2 linked regions of the Drosophila melanogaster genome follow. The protein of the gene in region 2 interacts with the protein of the main gene of each other region in a pairwise test. Each region holds a gene or a part of one and is shown on either strand. Other genes may lie near its edges. The genes, in order: CG15109 and Vps16B.

Region 1 (7,830 bases), on a different chromosome or scaffold from region 2:
GACAATCCTTCGTCAAGCGAAATAATCAACATTTTTTCACCCATTTTTCCTGCCAGTTGGCTTTGTATCCTTTCGTCCATGTGTTTTTTTTTTGCGGTGTGCGTGCGGTTGGTATGCAATTGAAGGTGACACTGAAATTTGCATAATTCTGTTGTCACATGTCGCATACGCCATGTATGATAGCCGCAAAAGGCAATAGGGCGAAAATAAAATAACCGCCTTTTTGAGCCGCACTGCAAAGTTCAACGTTTGACTTTAACGTAAAGCCAAGTGGTTAATAAGTTGATTAATTTATTTTTAATGAATTGAGTGAGGTAATGTATATTAACAATGTGTACACAATTGCAGGGTGTTTGAAAAATAACACTACCTACAACACACATATTTACGTTAATAATAGGTTCTTCAGAAATATATAAAACAACAAAAACTACTGCGTAACTAAGCAACACTAACCATATTTAAAAGATGTTAAAATTGATTTAAAAAATCAATTTACACAAACAACAATCTGTACACCAATTTAACATACTTAATTTCAATAAAAACAATTTTAAATGTATTTCACTTGCATTCAAATTTAAGTATTACCAAACTGATTTTACCTAACAGCAATTGCTGTATTTATTAGCATACAAATTATGGTTATCGAATTACCATTAAACCACTTTAAAAACGCCAAACCAGTTAAGTAAAACACTTTTCGTTTAAAATTGATAATGCCAGAGTGAGCTTAAAAGCAGCAAAACTGATTTTGCAATTTATATTCAGCAATTTATTTGCTGGTTATTTGCGAAAAGTTTTCCCTTAGTTGTCCAAAAAATGTTTATATATATTACTGAGCAGATTCCTGATACTTGGGCCATGACTTTAACGGCATTTTAAAGGCACCATTGCCATTCATTTGATATTTGCTGACTCAACAGTTCAATTGAATTTTATGTTGTTGCCTGTCGCCTTTTGACTATGAAATCTAGATTACAACTTTTGGCAACAACTTGTGGCTAACGTAATTACAAGCTTCCAAATGACAACCATAACATTAACAACAAAGGCACCGAAAGACCGACAGCCAGACAGAGCGAGTGACTGACAGAAGAGTCCTGGCAATGTCCTGGCAACGCTCGTCTTTGTCATCCTCATAATGAAGCCATAAATTTCAAAAGCAAAGAGATTAGCGAAAGTGGTCGCCGCCTGCCTTTCTCGAAATTTATATTTATATTTATATTTATATTTGTATTGTACGCAACTTAAAGCTATTTACGCAGATGTCAACTTAAAGCGAAAATGGCATTGGTGACGAAAGTGTGGCAAAAGTTAATGCACTTGCAGTGCTGACAGGACCTTGGAGTTGAGTGGAATGCGGAATGGCTGATGCAAGCATTTATTATTTACACTTGTAAATAAATATATATGTGTGCGAGGGTCTATGTTGGAGGGGGCCTGGTCACTTAGCAGCGGGAATTGCACATACATTCGCATTTACACTCCAGTTAACACCCCAGGGACATTGGCAGTGCCACCACAGAGAGAGAAATAATGTTTGCCTTACTTTTATATCTATAACAAATATAAGATATTTTTTGAGTGTACTAGAAATTATTATATAAATGTTAAATTCCTAGAAATAAGCAAGTACGTCCTTTAATTATTATATTTTTATGTCTGTTAACGTATGAAACACTATAAATATTTAATTAAATAATTAAATCTTTATACCACTCTCCAAATATAATTATTGTGCAATCTTATTCCATTCTTTCTATTTTTCCAAATGTATCTTGAAGTCGAAGGAGCTACGCAATTTTACGAATGCTGCGTTGCACTTTTCCGCTTGGCACATGTAGATGTACTGCTGGCATCTAGTGCAGTTTATATAGATTATATACGTGGATTTGTGAAGCAAATTTGTATTTATGCTGATGGCCAGGCACCCATGACACTCGCTATTTCAATGGCTTGCCTTTCCCTGGTGTTCCCAGTCCTGAAGCCTGAATTCTGATTCTCGATTCCTGACTCCCGGCACATTATGTGCCCCATTTAATGTCTATGTATGTGCAGCCAGTACACTTGCACATACTATGGCACACACTTACACGCCCAGTGAACGTCAAGTGGCAATTTACATTAGTTTTATTGTATACGAAATTAGCAGCATTTAGCAGTGGCAGCCGGCAAAACTTTTGCCTTTCGGCTCCGTTCGCTATGTCCCACCCCTACACCCATACACACACACACATGTATTGCTATAAATGGAGGATATATTCTCATCCGCAGTCAAGGGTTTGTATGTTAGATTTGTTTGCTCGTTTGGCTGCACTGTCGCACTCGGCATATCAATTTTCCCGCTCATCCACCTCTCCCCTCAGGACATTTCAAGGTAGGAAATCGATTTTGTTAATGAAAACGAAGGAGAACTTCAAGGAGAAGGCCACCCAGGGGATCGGGTGTCGATTGGAGCGTAAGTTTGATATTTGTTACGGGCGGAACAATGGCCATTCTGCTCGATGATGGCATTCCCGAAGGATTATATTGCAACTTTCGAGCTTGATTTTTTATATTCTTCCGCTGAACATAGTTATTATGATGTGTATTTAGTTTTTATTGTCTGTTTTTTGTATACAAAGTAAAAATGGTCTCGCCACTCCTTACATATGCAAGAAATATAAACATCTTCCAGTTGAAGCAACAAAAAATAAAAAAAAGAATGCGGAAAAACAAGTAACCTAAAATTTTTAAGAAACATTGTGACAGCTGCCCGTTTCAGGTTCACACTAGATGGCACTCGTTCACCAAAACGACATCATCTTCGACCACGTCGCCATTACGATTGGCATGGTGCTCATGGTGAATGGGACAGCTGACGATGAGCTCCTCCTTGGGTTCCATCTTCTGTGCCTCCTTCTTGGCCTTCTTCGTTAGTGCCTTATCCTTGATGCCCTTCTTTTTTTCCATCTCCAGCTCCAATTCTAGGTGATCGCCCAGCAGGTGATCGATGACATCGGGATTGTTGCGCAAAGCCAGATCCATGGCGCCATCAAGGAATTGATAGAGGGGTGAACTAACGTGACGCTGTGGCTCCTTTGGTGGTTCCAGCAAGAGATTTCCCTCGAAATTGGGCTGCAACAGCTGTTGCAGCATGTAGAGCATCGGTGGCACAGCCGGCGAGGATTTATGCTTGCGATGGTGCTTCAGTGGTGCTGCATTATGAAGTCCGCGTGGAGTGTTCTCGGCTGCATTCAGCAGTAGCACTCCGGCCAATTCCGGTGGCAGAACTTCCGGACCGTAGTTCAGCTCCTGCTGCACACTCTCAATCATCATGTTGGGCGCCAGCAGCTCGAACTCCTTTATCTCGTGCTTGCCATCTGGCGAAACCAGCTTGTTGTAGTACACGTAGGGATTGGAATTGGGATTGGGATTGGGATTAAGATTGGGATTAGGGTTGGGTGGCAATGAGGTGGCCATAGCAGCAGCTTCCACCGCTGGGCGACGCTTGTGGTGCAATTGTCGTGGCTGCAGACTGTCGTCCATCAGGCTACCCAAACGCCTCTTGGGACGGCGCAGTCCCAGCAGATCCTCCACTAGCTGAAATTTTCCGGCATCCGGAGGCGAGGATGTGGATGCCACAGCAGCAAGTGATGATGATAATGCGGTGGTGGTTGTGGAGCTAGTGGTTTTTCCACGAACTCCCATACTGCGCACCGGTCCAGCAGTAATCTTCTGCTCCGGAGATGTGGCGGCTTCAGTCATGTTAGCGGTGGTAATGGTACTATTGGCCAACACGGTGGCTTTTCCGCTCAGTGAAGCAGTATTGTCCATTGTAGTGGTTTCATTATAATCACTTGCAGTATCGCCTTGAGAACGCTTCATGCGCAGACAATCGCCGTACATCGGCCGCATCAACATGAGGACACCTTAAGCAAAACAATGGATGCGTTTGAAATACACGCAATTAATTATAAATAATTGCATGCTAGATGGTACTGAAAACTAACGTATACTTACACCCAAGGATCAGCAAGTAGTTCATCTTGTATTGCATGATAGGCAGCGCTGTGGAAGACAGTTGAGTTGAAAAAGTGAAAAGTGACCACAAATATTCTCAGAGTTGAATATTTATTGTAGATTTTTTTCCACCAGAATAGTTACAATTTGAACTTACTTTATTTGATTGGAGTGGGTTCTAGGTGTGCTCGGCACAAAGTTTGTACTGAAAATAATTCGAAATGCTTCCTGCCTCATGGCGAGGCTTTGACAGACAGCTGGGGACCTGGTAAAAGGTTACTGAGAGTACGAAAAAAAAAATCGAATTTCAATATTTTTCTGATGGGGATTTTCCACACACACTCACTTCCATTTGTGGCGACCTTTTCAAGTGCTGCAAATGGCAGCAATGGTACAAAAACAAAAAAAAAAGTAACAAAACACAACCGCGCACACCAAAAAAGTTTGTTTCGTGGGCCGCAAACAAAAGCAAACAGTGGAAAAAGTTTAGCTTATAAATTTCCAATCAATTTTTCGTGCAAAAATCAAGCGACCTCACACTCACACACAGGCACAAGCTCAAGTGTTCATACACGTAGTGTGTGCCTGCGTGTGAGTAGCTATTACTTGATTAATAAATATTAGCAGCAAAAATTGGAAAATTCTCAGCGAAGCGTAAAAGTGCAAACACCCAAACGGAAATGCGATACATTTGCGAAATGGCAGGAGCATTTTCCAAAACATCGATGCTTCTCTACGCACACAAGCACGCACACAGCACTACTCACCTACTCCATGTAACTTTTGATATAAAAGGTATATAAGAATTATCGAAGATATGAAATATAGGTTATGAATCTGCATGGATTGACTTATTGACTTAAACTATAATTTCCCATTTGTTCAAAATGTAACAACTATATCTTCTTTTGTGTTATATATCAAATGAATTTTGGTTACTTTCAAAAGGGTATTTCTTTCTCGATTCCCGTTTTTTTAGCCTAAAACTTGAACTTGTTTCTGCCGCCTTCGTCTTTAGGCATTAATAATGTAAAGTGCGTGCGTCAAATGTGAATTCCTTGCTGCCAACGCACGCGATTTCATAAACTGGCGACATTTTCAACAAACAATTCTCATCGCCGTCTTCGATGTGCTTGTGTGTGTGTGTGTGTGTGCGCCCTTCGAGGCGACTTGGCGCTCAGGTGGATTTTGGGGTGCAGGAGGCGGTAAACCAAGGGACCCCGAGGAGCAGGCACTTTTCCTTATCAGCTTAAATGTAAATGCCAAACGAGTGCACTGAAGGCGGGGAGGGGGGTCGAAAGGGGGCGTGGCTGAGCAGCAGCTGTTGCTGCATTGGGGATTTGCACATTTATACTCGCATATTGTAGCCCCACTCCTCGAAAACCCCGTTTTTCCGGTCCATCCTGCTGTCTCGTTTTCATCTTCTCGTTTTTTATCTGCCAAAGTTGATTTTTCGAGTGTATTGAATAAAAGTCGATTTTCCCCTTCTGGATTTGTGCGCGTTCGACAAGCGGCTTAAATGCGTACAGTTAATACATATCCTTTTTGCATATGTCTGCGTGTCTGGGGCTTATAAGCCAGTGTGTAAGTGGGTGTGCGTGCTCTTGCTTTGATGTGTGAGTCCGTTAAGGTCGTGGCTTATTAGGGGTCCGAAACCTTTGCCGCAGTGCATCAACGCGGCGGGATTTGCACGCAGACACTGCAAAAAGGCTCCCAAGACGATCCACTATAATTGGTAGCGAAAATCACGCATCCGCCGTGTGGGTCAAGTGGTGCTAGGGGAACTGGTCTAGCAATTGCTTTGATCTCGGGCGGAAAATCGGTGAGTGCGACTTTTATTAAATGTTTCCCTTTCGATTTGTTTCGGCGGAAAAGACTCCGGCTTTGTAAACTTTCATTAGTTGCCTCGTTAATATTCCAATTGTTGACACACAAAGGCGAAAGGTGGTGGAGGGGATGGCTGGCTTAACCTGTGTATAAAGGAATTTAATTAATAACGTCCTTCGTCCTTTTGCGTGTGCAGCGCGGCGTAAACTTAATTAAATGCGCAAGTGGCAAGTAGCAAGTAGCTGGGGCCACAGTGGCAAATGACAAGTGGAGATGCAGGACCAGCAGACGCAACTGGAGAAGCTCAGGTGCAAAGGTTGAAGGTAACACCTGGCCCGGCTAGAAGTAAGAAAAAAAAACGTTAAGGAAACCCTCCTGCCCCACATGTCAAAAGTTTTATTGGCGCAAACGCTACTTTTATGGCTACTGTTAATAGTGAAAAATGGTGCAACAAAAGCCAGAATGATGGCAGATGCTTAGACAAAACCAGATGGAAATGGCAAACGGGGGGAGCGGCAAGTTCATCGAGTTGGTCATAAAACAACGAGTTGTGGCTCAGTGACTTTAACGCGCTTCCATCTTTACGAGTTTGGTGCGCCGGGTTTATAACCTGTAACTGGGGGCAAAGTTTATTAAGTTTATGCCAAGTGCATCAAATATGCAAAACCGCTATAGTTGATCATCTTGGATGCTCGATGGATTTGACTTCGAGTCTGACGGAGATGTCTTTTAGCATAATCGCTGGTTATTGCTATAAAACCGGTTGGCAATCATTCTATGCTGATTTTATGATAATCACAATTTCAGCTGTGATCTATTAAAGGTGCTTTCTTCTGTGAGTTAAGTTGGATATATTTTTCTAATGGGAAAAAATCGTTAAAGTAAATAGTCTTCTTGTTTTTGCATTTAATAATGCCATATAATTCTGTTTACATAGGTTTTAAAATATATCATGCCTTTTCCTTCTTAGCTTTATGAAAGTGTGACATATTTTTCTGCGTGTCAAAGAGTTTGAAAAGTGATTTGCAGCCAAACTATAAAATGCACTGGCATTTCGGACTGTTTTTAGTGCAGAAGCTTGACTGACGACCGTAAGAAGTTACGCCCATTCCACGCATTCTAAATCAATTTCAGTCGAACGCCTTTCGCCTGGCATTGATTTATGGCCCAAATCCAAACGTCGTCTAAGTGGAAAAGCCGAACCGAAAAGAGGCGCAACTTTACCGAATTATATTTCAATTTTGGCAGCGAAAATGAAACAGAAACAGAGCCATACCGAGTCCACAAAAGTGGGGCGTGGCTGGGGAAAAGATGTTAAGAACTTTTTGACAATTGACTTAAAAAGTTTCCTCAAGCTGGCAGAAATTGACTGCCTTTTGTATACAAATAGGCCGAAATCACCAAGCCCACACACACACACACACACACACATATGGACAGGGCAAACGGAAAAGCTGGAGAAAATGGTGCCGCGTCCATGAAGCGGAAGTAAACACATAAAACGGAAATGAAAATTCAATTATTTCGTTACGATTGTTCAACTTTTTGTTGTTGTTGTTTTCAGTGTGCATCTGTGTGTGTGTGTGTGTATGTGTGTTTTGTGCTCTCATTTCGTGTGGCAGGCAGAGGCCAAAAAAAGTTTAACATTAAGTTAACGTGCAACTCGCTTCGTGGGTCAGCATATGCAACTTTAGCTCTTTTTGGGCAAATTCAATTTTAGCTGCCACTTTTTTGGGGCATGTGTATGTGTGTGTGTGTGTCTGCACCGAAACGAAAGGGCCGCACATTTAAATGCGATTTTTAACAGTCGCTTCACGCACAATTAGCCTCTCGAATCGATTTTCACTTAAAGCGTTTTCCCAGCTTCACTTAGCGATCCCAAATGCAGTTAGCACGCTAGACGATGTTCGATAAAGAATTTCTTTTCCCAGGCCTTTTGGTTGCAGTGGCCTTGGTGGTAGTATTACAAACACGCAGCAGATTGCAACAGGATTTGCA
Region 2 (7,902 bases):
AGAAACCCTGTCTAGTGAACTTTGTTTTTAATGATCCGCTTGCAGATGGGGCATCTATGGGCAGCTTGGACAGGGAAGCTGCGAGAATATAGCTACACCACAACTAGTCAGTTTTTTCAAATTTAAGGTGCGTCATTTAATCCATATGCACTTTATAGTCTTGCTACATTGACACATGCCTCTCAATGTTGCAGAAAATTTTACAAATATCGCTAGGGCATGCGCACACCTTGGTGCTGTGTGGAGCACCCAACAGCCACATGGAGGCTAACCACTGCGGCAACGAGCTCTTCGTGTTCGGCTCCAATCACTTTGGCCAGCTGGGCACCGGCAATAGTGACCATGGCGACACCAAGACGAACCTGCCTGTGCGCCTGGAAGTGGGCGACTGCAGCCTAAGACTGATACACACCAAATTTTTTACCAATGTAAGTGTTCAGCAATTACAGATGGGATCCAAGCTACATTCTAAAATCCCCCACAGTTAGCTGTAGACGAACAGGATCGTCTGTTCACTTGGGGAAGCTCGCCGCAGGCCTTGCGTCTGGCCAATCAGATCAAGCGGCGTGCCAATGCCAAGCAGAAGATGGAGGAGAATCAGCAGCGGGAGCTGTTGAGCAAGCAACTGGAGGCTACCCTGCTGCCGGCACCCATCCCGAGTACCAGCACTCTGGTGGAGCCCACCACATCATATGCGGCGGTGGTGGCCGGCTCCACTCCGAAGTCCAGCGTCAGCGACACCAAAGATTGCCAGGACGTGCAGAACGAGGCTGCGCCATCAGACGCTACGGAAACAATTGCACCGGCGTCTGCAAAAGCGGCGCCACCGCCAGTGCCCGTGGCTTCTCCGCCAGTTCTTGTCCCAGAACCGGATCCCACGGAGCACCTGACGCCCCATCTAGTGGACACCAGCGAGGTGGCAGGACGAATCCTGCAGGTAATTTATGACAGAGTGCAGCCATGGCTTGCTTTTTTAATTTGAAATCTCCTTTTTTATAGATCTCCAGTGGCTTGTTCCACTTCTGCCTGATCTCGTCCAGCTGCACACTCTATACGTGGGGCAAGAACCTGGAACACCAACTCGGCACCGAGGACAAAGATCGAAGGGCGGTGCTTAAGCCCTCGCCCATCGACAGCATCGAGCGTCCGATGTACGTAGACTGTGGTTCGGATTTCACGCTGGTCATGACCACCGATCACGTTGTGCGTGCCTTCGGCGGCAACTCGAACGGTCAGTGCGGTCGGGACTTGGGGCCCAGTGTGGAGAGGATGCGTCAGAGGGTGGTGTGCCTTCCAGCGACCAAGCGTCTGGTGCGATTCGAGAGCCAGTGCGTGGAAGTACCGGTGGAGATCAATCTGCCGAGACCGCGCATTCGACTAGACCAGGATCCGGTCAGATACCTTAAGGTTATGCCACCATATCAGCCGCATTTCTTGCAGCCGGCAAACATAAGCTTCGATCAGCACTGCTCGGTGGGCACTCCGAACTACAAAAGCAGCACGGAGCACGCGGCCACCGGTCAGGACTCGGACGACATGCTGAGTAGCCTCGAAAACCTGAGTCAGAACGATGCCAGCTTCTCTTACAATGCTCCTGTGCTGGGCGACGCCCACAGTTCGCTGGACATGGACTACACACCCGAGGAGCAGAGCTACGTGCCGCTGCCAGAACAGGCAGTTGGATCTGGTATGCCCGCGAATGCAGAGCAGTTGCTGGGCCGCGACGATGACGATGGCAGCACCTACACTCAGAGCACCGAGGGAATGGGAGAGTCGTCGCTGCAGCATCTGCGCCACTACATCCATTACTGTCTGTACGCCTTTCACGGGTTGTATAATCCCGACAAGATTGGCGAGTGCGCCCGTCCACATCGCAACGAGTACCGCATACGTATCTGCATGCTCAACTTTCGCTTCGTAGAGGCCTTCCGGCTGTGCCTGCAAAGCTGCGGTTCCGCCCAGCGCACCCTCAAGTTGTTTGAGTACTTCAGCAAGGACACGGGCTATGTGCCGCTGAGGAGAACCGACCTAAAGCACCTCATCTACCACCTGTGTCTGCACTTCCTGGAACGCAAGTTCGATATGCTGGAGTGCGAGCGGTTCTTCATGGGCGACCTGGACTACTATCTGCTGGAGCTGGCCTACGTGTTCTACTTCAACAACAACAACTCGACGCTGGAGCAGAATCTCAACCAGAAGTTCAAGCAGCTCATCGCGGCTGCGGACAGCAATCAAGCGGCCACGTCCGCCGGCCAGGAGCTCGAGCAGCTGCAGGACACCGATGTCATATTCGATAGCTTTACGGTCAAGTTCAAGACGATCCTGTGCCAGCGCCTGCTCAGCTACTCGGACTGCGATGCTGCCAATTAGCAGTGGCTGGGCCCTGGAGCTTCGTTTCCGGTTCAGATCCTGGATCCTCTGAAATTTCGTTCAACACGCATCAGTTGAGGGCCCGTCTGTCTTGTTTAATATGTTTCGTTATGAGTTCTGACCTAGAACCGAGGACTGCCCCCAGCACACACAACCCCAGACTCACAGACTCCCGGACTCCCAACTCCTAGAACCCATCTTCCCTTACATTTTTACGCGTAACTATATATATATACCATAATTGTTGTTTGCGGTTATTTATACATCAAATGCTTTTTACAGCGCTGTTATTTAAACGAAATATTTAAGACAAACAAATTGTTTAAAGAATCCAATTTTTGTAACGCTTTGTTTGCCATTGGCCACGCCTGCTTTTATTTGTTTACTCAATAAACTACACAAAAATCTGAGACCGAAGGAAAGTAATCCAAAACTGCTCATCGAACAGATCAACGGAGGCTGCAGGATATACACATGAAACATACAAATGATACAAATTTTTGTTTTTTATTCGATATTCAGCTTGTGATTTGCAATTATTTAATAAAACCAGAGTAGTAGTAATATAATTATATACACATATAAATGATTAACAATAAAATACGTTTATACAAGTAAAAGAAAGTCAATTTTACAACTTGAGCTTGATGTTGTCCGTAGTCCATCGCTTGCTCTGGAGGCTTTTCAGCGCATTCTCGCAGTAGAACTGCTCCTCGGATCGCTCGGGCAGGGTGTCCTTGAGCTGCTGTAGCTCCTGCTGCTGCTTCAACCCGGCCATGGCATCTATGACCGCCTTGATGCACTTCACCCGCTGGGCTAGCGCCAGTTTCTCAACGCTGTTGCCCATCTTGGAGAGGAATAGCTGAAGGACGGTCGAGGGAGCCTGCAGCTCGTACAGCCGGAGCACGGCCAGCGTCAGATCGAAGCTGATGTGAAACTGTTTGGTCTTCAGCGGATGCCAACTGGGCACCCGCTCAAATATGCACTCCAGATCCGCATAAGCCTGTGCCTGCGCCCTTTCATTGAGCGCCGTCCACTCGTACTGGGCCGGCGATATTTGCTGGTCGGCGGCAAAACGCTGAGGTGACACTGGTTTGAGCATATCCTGCTCTTTCCAATTGCTGTTCACCTGGCAGCAAGCATAGAGCACTTCCACTGGAGTGGGTTGATCCCGAAGCAGCTTGCCGAGCGCGCTATCCTTCTCCATTAGCTGCTGCATCTTGAGGGCAGCGTGAAAAACCTGCTCGTAGAGAGGTATTACACCCACTCCCGCTGTGGCATAGGCATCCACCAAAAGCTGGAGGTGTTTCTTCCTGGTGCTCGTATCTCCGGAAGCGAGCGCTGCCTGAAACTGCTTAAGAGCCGCCTCCTGGTGGCGTCCAAATAGCTGCAGTAGCTCAATATGGCCCGCCAGGTCGCCACTTTCCTTCAGGTAACTCAGATACTGCTCCAAGGCCTTGGGTCTCTCCCTCAGAATGCCATGAAACTGCGTGGTATTCAGAGTTCTCTTGAGGAAGAGCAACACTGTAATGACGGCATGCCCACCACCTTGTGCCATCAGGGTGTCCAGCAGCTGCTGCTTCTCATGCAGCGACTTGAACATCTCCAAGGGCGCAGTCTTTCCTTGCAGCAGCTTCTGTGCAGTGGCTTCTAGATTGGGGCTGTACAGGGTGCTCTGAAGCTGTCGGCGCAGCAGCTTCAGCTCCTCCTCCGGCGAGACACCCTTGGGCAGGACCCTGTCGTCCAGCGCCTGTTCCTGCAGCACCAGTTTCAATGCCTCCTCGCTCAGAATGGATTTGATCGAGAGATTCAGGGCGACACTGTTATTGAAGCTGGCCTCCGAAATGGTGTCGTCGGCGAGGATGCCATTGCTGACCAGATCCGGGGCGAGGTCCACCTCGTCTTCGTCGTCGAAGCTGAACGCTGCGCGAGAGGATCGGTTCCAATAGCTTTCGCTGTCCAATTGCAGGTCCATTGTTATTATTCGTTATTAAATGTAAGGTTCTATTTTGTGACGACCAGTGTGGCTGCGCTAATGAATTTACCGTTTAATGCACAGACATGGTCGCACTATTTTCGGCTATTCAAATATTTAAAAATAGTTTCAGTGAAATCCGTTATGAAAAAGCTGTTAATTGTTTATAATCTTCGTTGAATCAAACGATTGACACAGAAAATTAAGCAATTTAGAATTTAGAACTTCTTTCCAAATTGGCTAGAAACGGGAACGCATTTGATTTGTGCAATAAACTAGCAACGGCTAATTCAGCAGAACATCAAGTTTCATCATAAACTCTTTTCGCTTTCTTTTATTCACAAATAGTTGGCTTTTAATGAACCTTAAAGTTTTTATTATTTTGTACGATTAAATCCGCGTAGATTTTTTCACTTTAAGCGAGAAAGCATTTACGTGCACGTTTTTATGCGTCTTTCATGGGTGCCAACTGCTAAAATAGTGAAACTGCCCGAATCAAGTATGTTGCATTACTTTGACTTATTCAAGACCTGGTCTAGCCAGGGATGCAGTGCATCGAGGCGGGAGTAGACTCCCGGCTTGTCCGCCAGGGCGCACCCCACTCCCCACGACACGATGCCCACCAGCTGCTCCCTCACCGACAAGGGTCCACCGGAGTCCATCTGGCAGGCATCCGTGCCGCCCTTGAGGTAGCCTGCACAGAGCATCCGATCCGTCACAGTTTTGCCCAGTAGGTTCCTGCAGGCGGTCTGATTCACGATCGGCACTCGGGCATATCTCAGACTGTCCGAGGGAGGACCATTCATGGACTTAAATCCCCAGCCGGCAATGGTGGCATAGGTGCCTTCGGCTACTCTCTCTGGGTTTATGGGAATGGCCTTTACCTACAGAGCAAATTGCTGAACTAACTCATTTTAGCTGAGAGTATTTCAAACCTTTCTAGATAGTGTTAGGTTTTTGGTCAACCTGATGATACCGATGTCATAGTCCATGGTCTTGGGATTGAAATTCTCGTGGACTTGCAGGTCAGCGACCGAGAACAGTTCCCCATCTTTTCGGTAGCGCGACGTTCCGCCGACCTTAACTTTCAGCAGGCGATGTGGCACTCCGTTCAGACAATGGCCAGCCGTTAGGATGGTGTGGTTATTTATTATGGAGCCGCCACAATGGTGGATGCCGTACAGTTGGATGGACACTATGTACGGAATGTTGGCGATATCGGCTGGGAAGCCACCGACTATGCGTGGATCTGGGCGACTCTCCAGAGATAGACACCCAGAAGCCTGGAGGAGAAGCAATTTCCACCATAACTTGTACATCATTCGCAGTTAAACGGAGAAAGAATCGCTTTAAAGTAGGAATGTGCGGTCTTTGGATCGCACCTTAAGTACGGAAGAACGTGAAAAATAATGAGAAAAAGCATTTCAATAAGTGCCCATTACTTTGTAATTAGGAAGAGGTTTCGTTTATCTCGCAACTGTTTCAGCTTCGCCGACAGACAGAATATACAATATATGTAACTAAGCTCCGTTCGTGCCGTCAGTTATTAAGAGCCGGACTAATTAAAGTTCAAAATAGTTGAAATGCGAGGAAAGAATGGACCAAATGGATTAAATTAGGGAATACTTAACTACCAAGTAGGTGCTCCAAGGGGCCACTTACCTAGCAATCTGCCATGAATCATCTTTCAATAACTAGGGCTTTCTTCGGTCCGATTCTCCTCGCTTTTCACAAATGTATATCATTTGAATAGCATTAATGGCCAAATCTGGCCTCCACTCATCTATTGTTTGCCCAATTTGTTATCAAAGCACGACCCGTTTTCTCGGCGAACGGACTCGGCCAACTGATTTGCATTGGCTTGACCCATAAATTTGGAAATCAAACACCGTTTGATGGGCCATTCTGGCTCTGGTCTGGCATACTGGCATATCCACGTCGAAAGCGCTGTCCCCGCCAATAAAGTGGGCTATTCGAGATCGGCAGATATCACTGATCTCCAGCCAGTGCGAATGGGGGATGGGGATGGGGGCTAGTCGAAATGGAGTAAAAGTAAACACCGAACATAAGCCCACACAAATCGTTATGGTGGATTTGGCCTAAGCCGATTAGGCTAGAATGGGAGAAAATGGGTGACGAGCGATTTCACGCGACACCTGCGTACGTACCTTTCTCACTCCCAACTCCCAACTCCACACTCCTCATTTCTCATTAGTGAAAGTGAAAAATAGTAAAAACGCAAGCGACAGTTATAAGCCAAAACCCATTGTTACGCGTCGCTTTTCTGGCAGCCCTTGGGCGCTAACAGGCCCATAAGAAAATTATTCGAGGAGCCATAATGCCAACTTTATATGTTACCTATGTTAGGCCCAAAGAGAGCCAAAGAGCGCAGACAGGTGCACATTGTTCTCGATCGTTGACCGCAATCACCATGGTTGCATCTCCAACACGTTCGAGTTCGGAGTGTAGAGATCCAGCCACAGGTGATACCTCACCATTACCAAGCACGAGTGTGTTTACCATGCTAACAATTTCTTTCTGTTTGAGGTTCTTTCGTCTGCGAGCATCATCCACATCCATCGCCCCGAGACTTTCTTTTGCAAGAATTCCACTTCCACGACGAACTGCGTCCCGCTCTCTCGCGCCTTCTCTCTTCCTTCGCCAGCCGAGCTGCTCCCAGAACTTCTTTATCTAATTTTTATAACAAGTCACTCGGCGGCGTGGAAGACTTCAGTTCTGCGGCGACCATCGAATGGTCAAGTTCGGTGCTCCCTTGTTCCCATTGCGAAAGATCTTGGGCTGCGAAAGTGTTTTGTCTCAGTGTGACTAGGCTGAAATTCGGGAAAGACTCAGGCAACGAACTTGTTAATTAGGTAATTGTTTGACGATATGGATATGACTATGAATATGGATATGGATATTGAAACGAAGATGTTAGAATGCCTCACATCATGAGCACTGGTGTGGGAACAGAGCTATGCCTTTTCCACCTCCGATCGAACCGCTACTCAGCAGATGCTGCCCAGATGCACCGACTGAGGAATAACTAAGAAAAATCTGAACAAAAAACGTTAACCGGTTTACTTAAACGGCAGTGATCGGACTGACGGATGACTATGCCTATGCCAGCGTTGAAAAACGGAGACAATCATTCTGAAAAAGTGAACTGCAAAAACGCAGCAAACTGAGAAAAACTGTGCAGAATGCAAAAGACTCGAAAGACTCCAGCCCCAGTTACATATACGTTCTTCACGATTCTTCGCAATTCTTTACCATTCTTCAAGGTTCTGCAGCCAGTCTGCGGCTTCCGTCAAAACATTAGGACTTCCGTCCTGGAATGGGAGTTCCCCCCCCGACGGATGCCAACTGACTTGGTTCGGCTTTCTTGGCTAAATTCTGAGATACTCACGCATATTGGCAGAAATCTCAGAGTCAGTGAATCCTAAGAGCTGGAAATTAGCACAGTAGTTCGTTAGTGGTCCCGTGATTATCCCACGAATCCCAAATTGGCCACATTCGAAGTTTCGCCGAATGGGAAATTAATCTAACAGTGTGAT

The links.
Region 1: the proteins of Vps16B (region 2) and CG15109 interact in a two-hybrid assay, tested with the Drosophila melanogaster proteins (one large-scale study listed by BioGRID).

What each region holds. Positions count from the first base shown.
Region 1 is NT_033778.4:19,055,819-19,063,648, reverse strand, and holds CG15109 (uncharacterized protein), read right to left. Parts: upstream 4,229-7,830; 5' UTR 4,163-4,228; intron 4,054-4,162; 5' UTR 4,031-4,053; coding exon 4,006-4,030; exon of another isoform or gene 3,915-4,005; coding exon 2,770-3,914; 3' UTR 2,584-2,769; downstream 1-2,583. Other genes in the region: Gpxl (glutathione peroxidase-like), read left to right, coding at 7,736-7,830.
Region 2 is NT_033777.3:29,812,062-29,819,963, forward strand, and holds Vps16B (vacuolar protein sorting 16B), read right to left. Parts: upstream 4,391-7,902; 5' UTR 4,346-4,390; coding exon 3,002-4,345; 3' UTR 2,860-3,001; downstream 1-2,859. Other genes in the region: ca (claret), read left to right, coding at 46-127, 195-428, 485-937, 1,000-2,370; CG7829 (uncharacterized protein), read right to left, coding at 4,855-5,229, 5,281-5,667.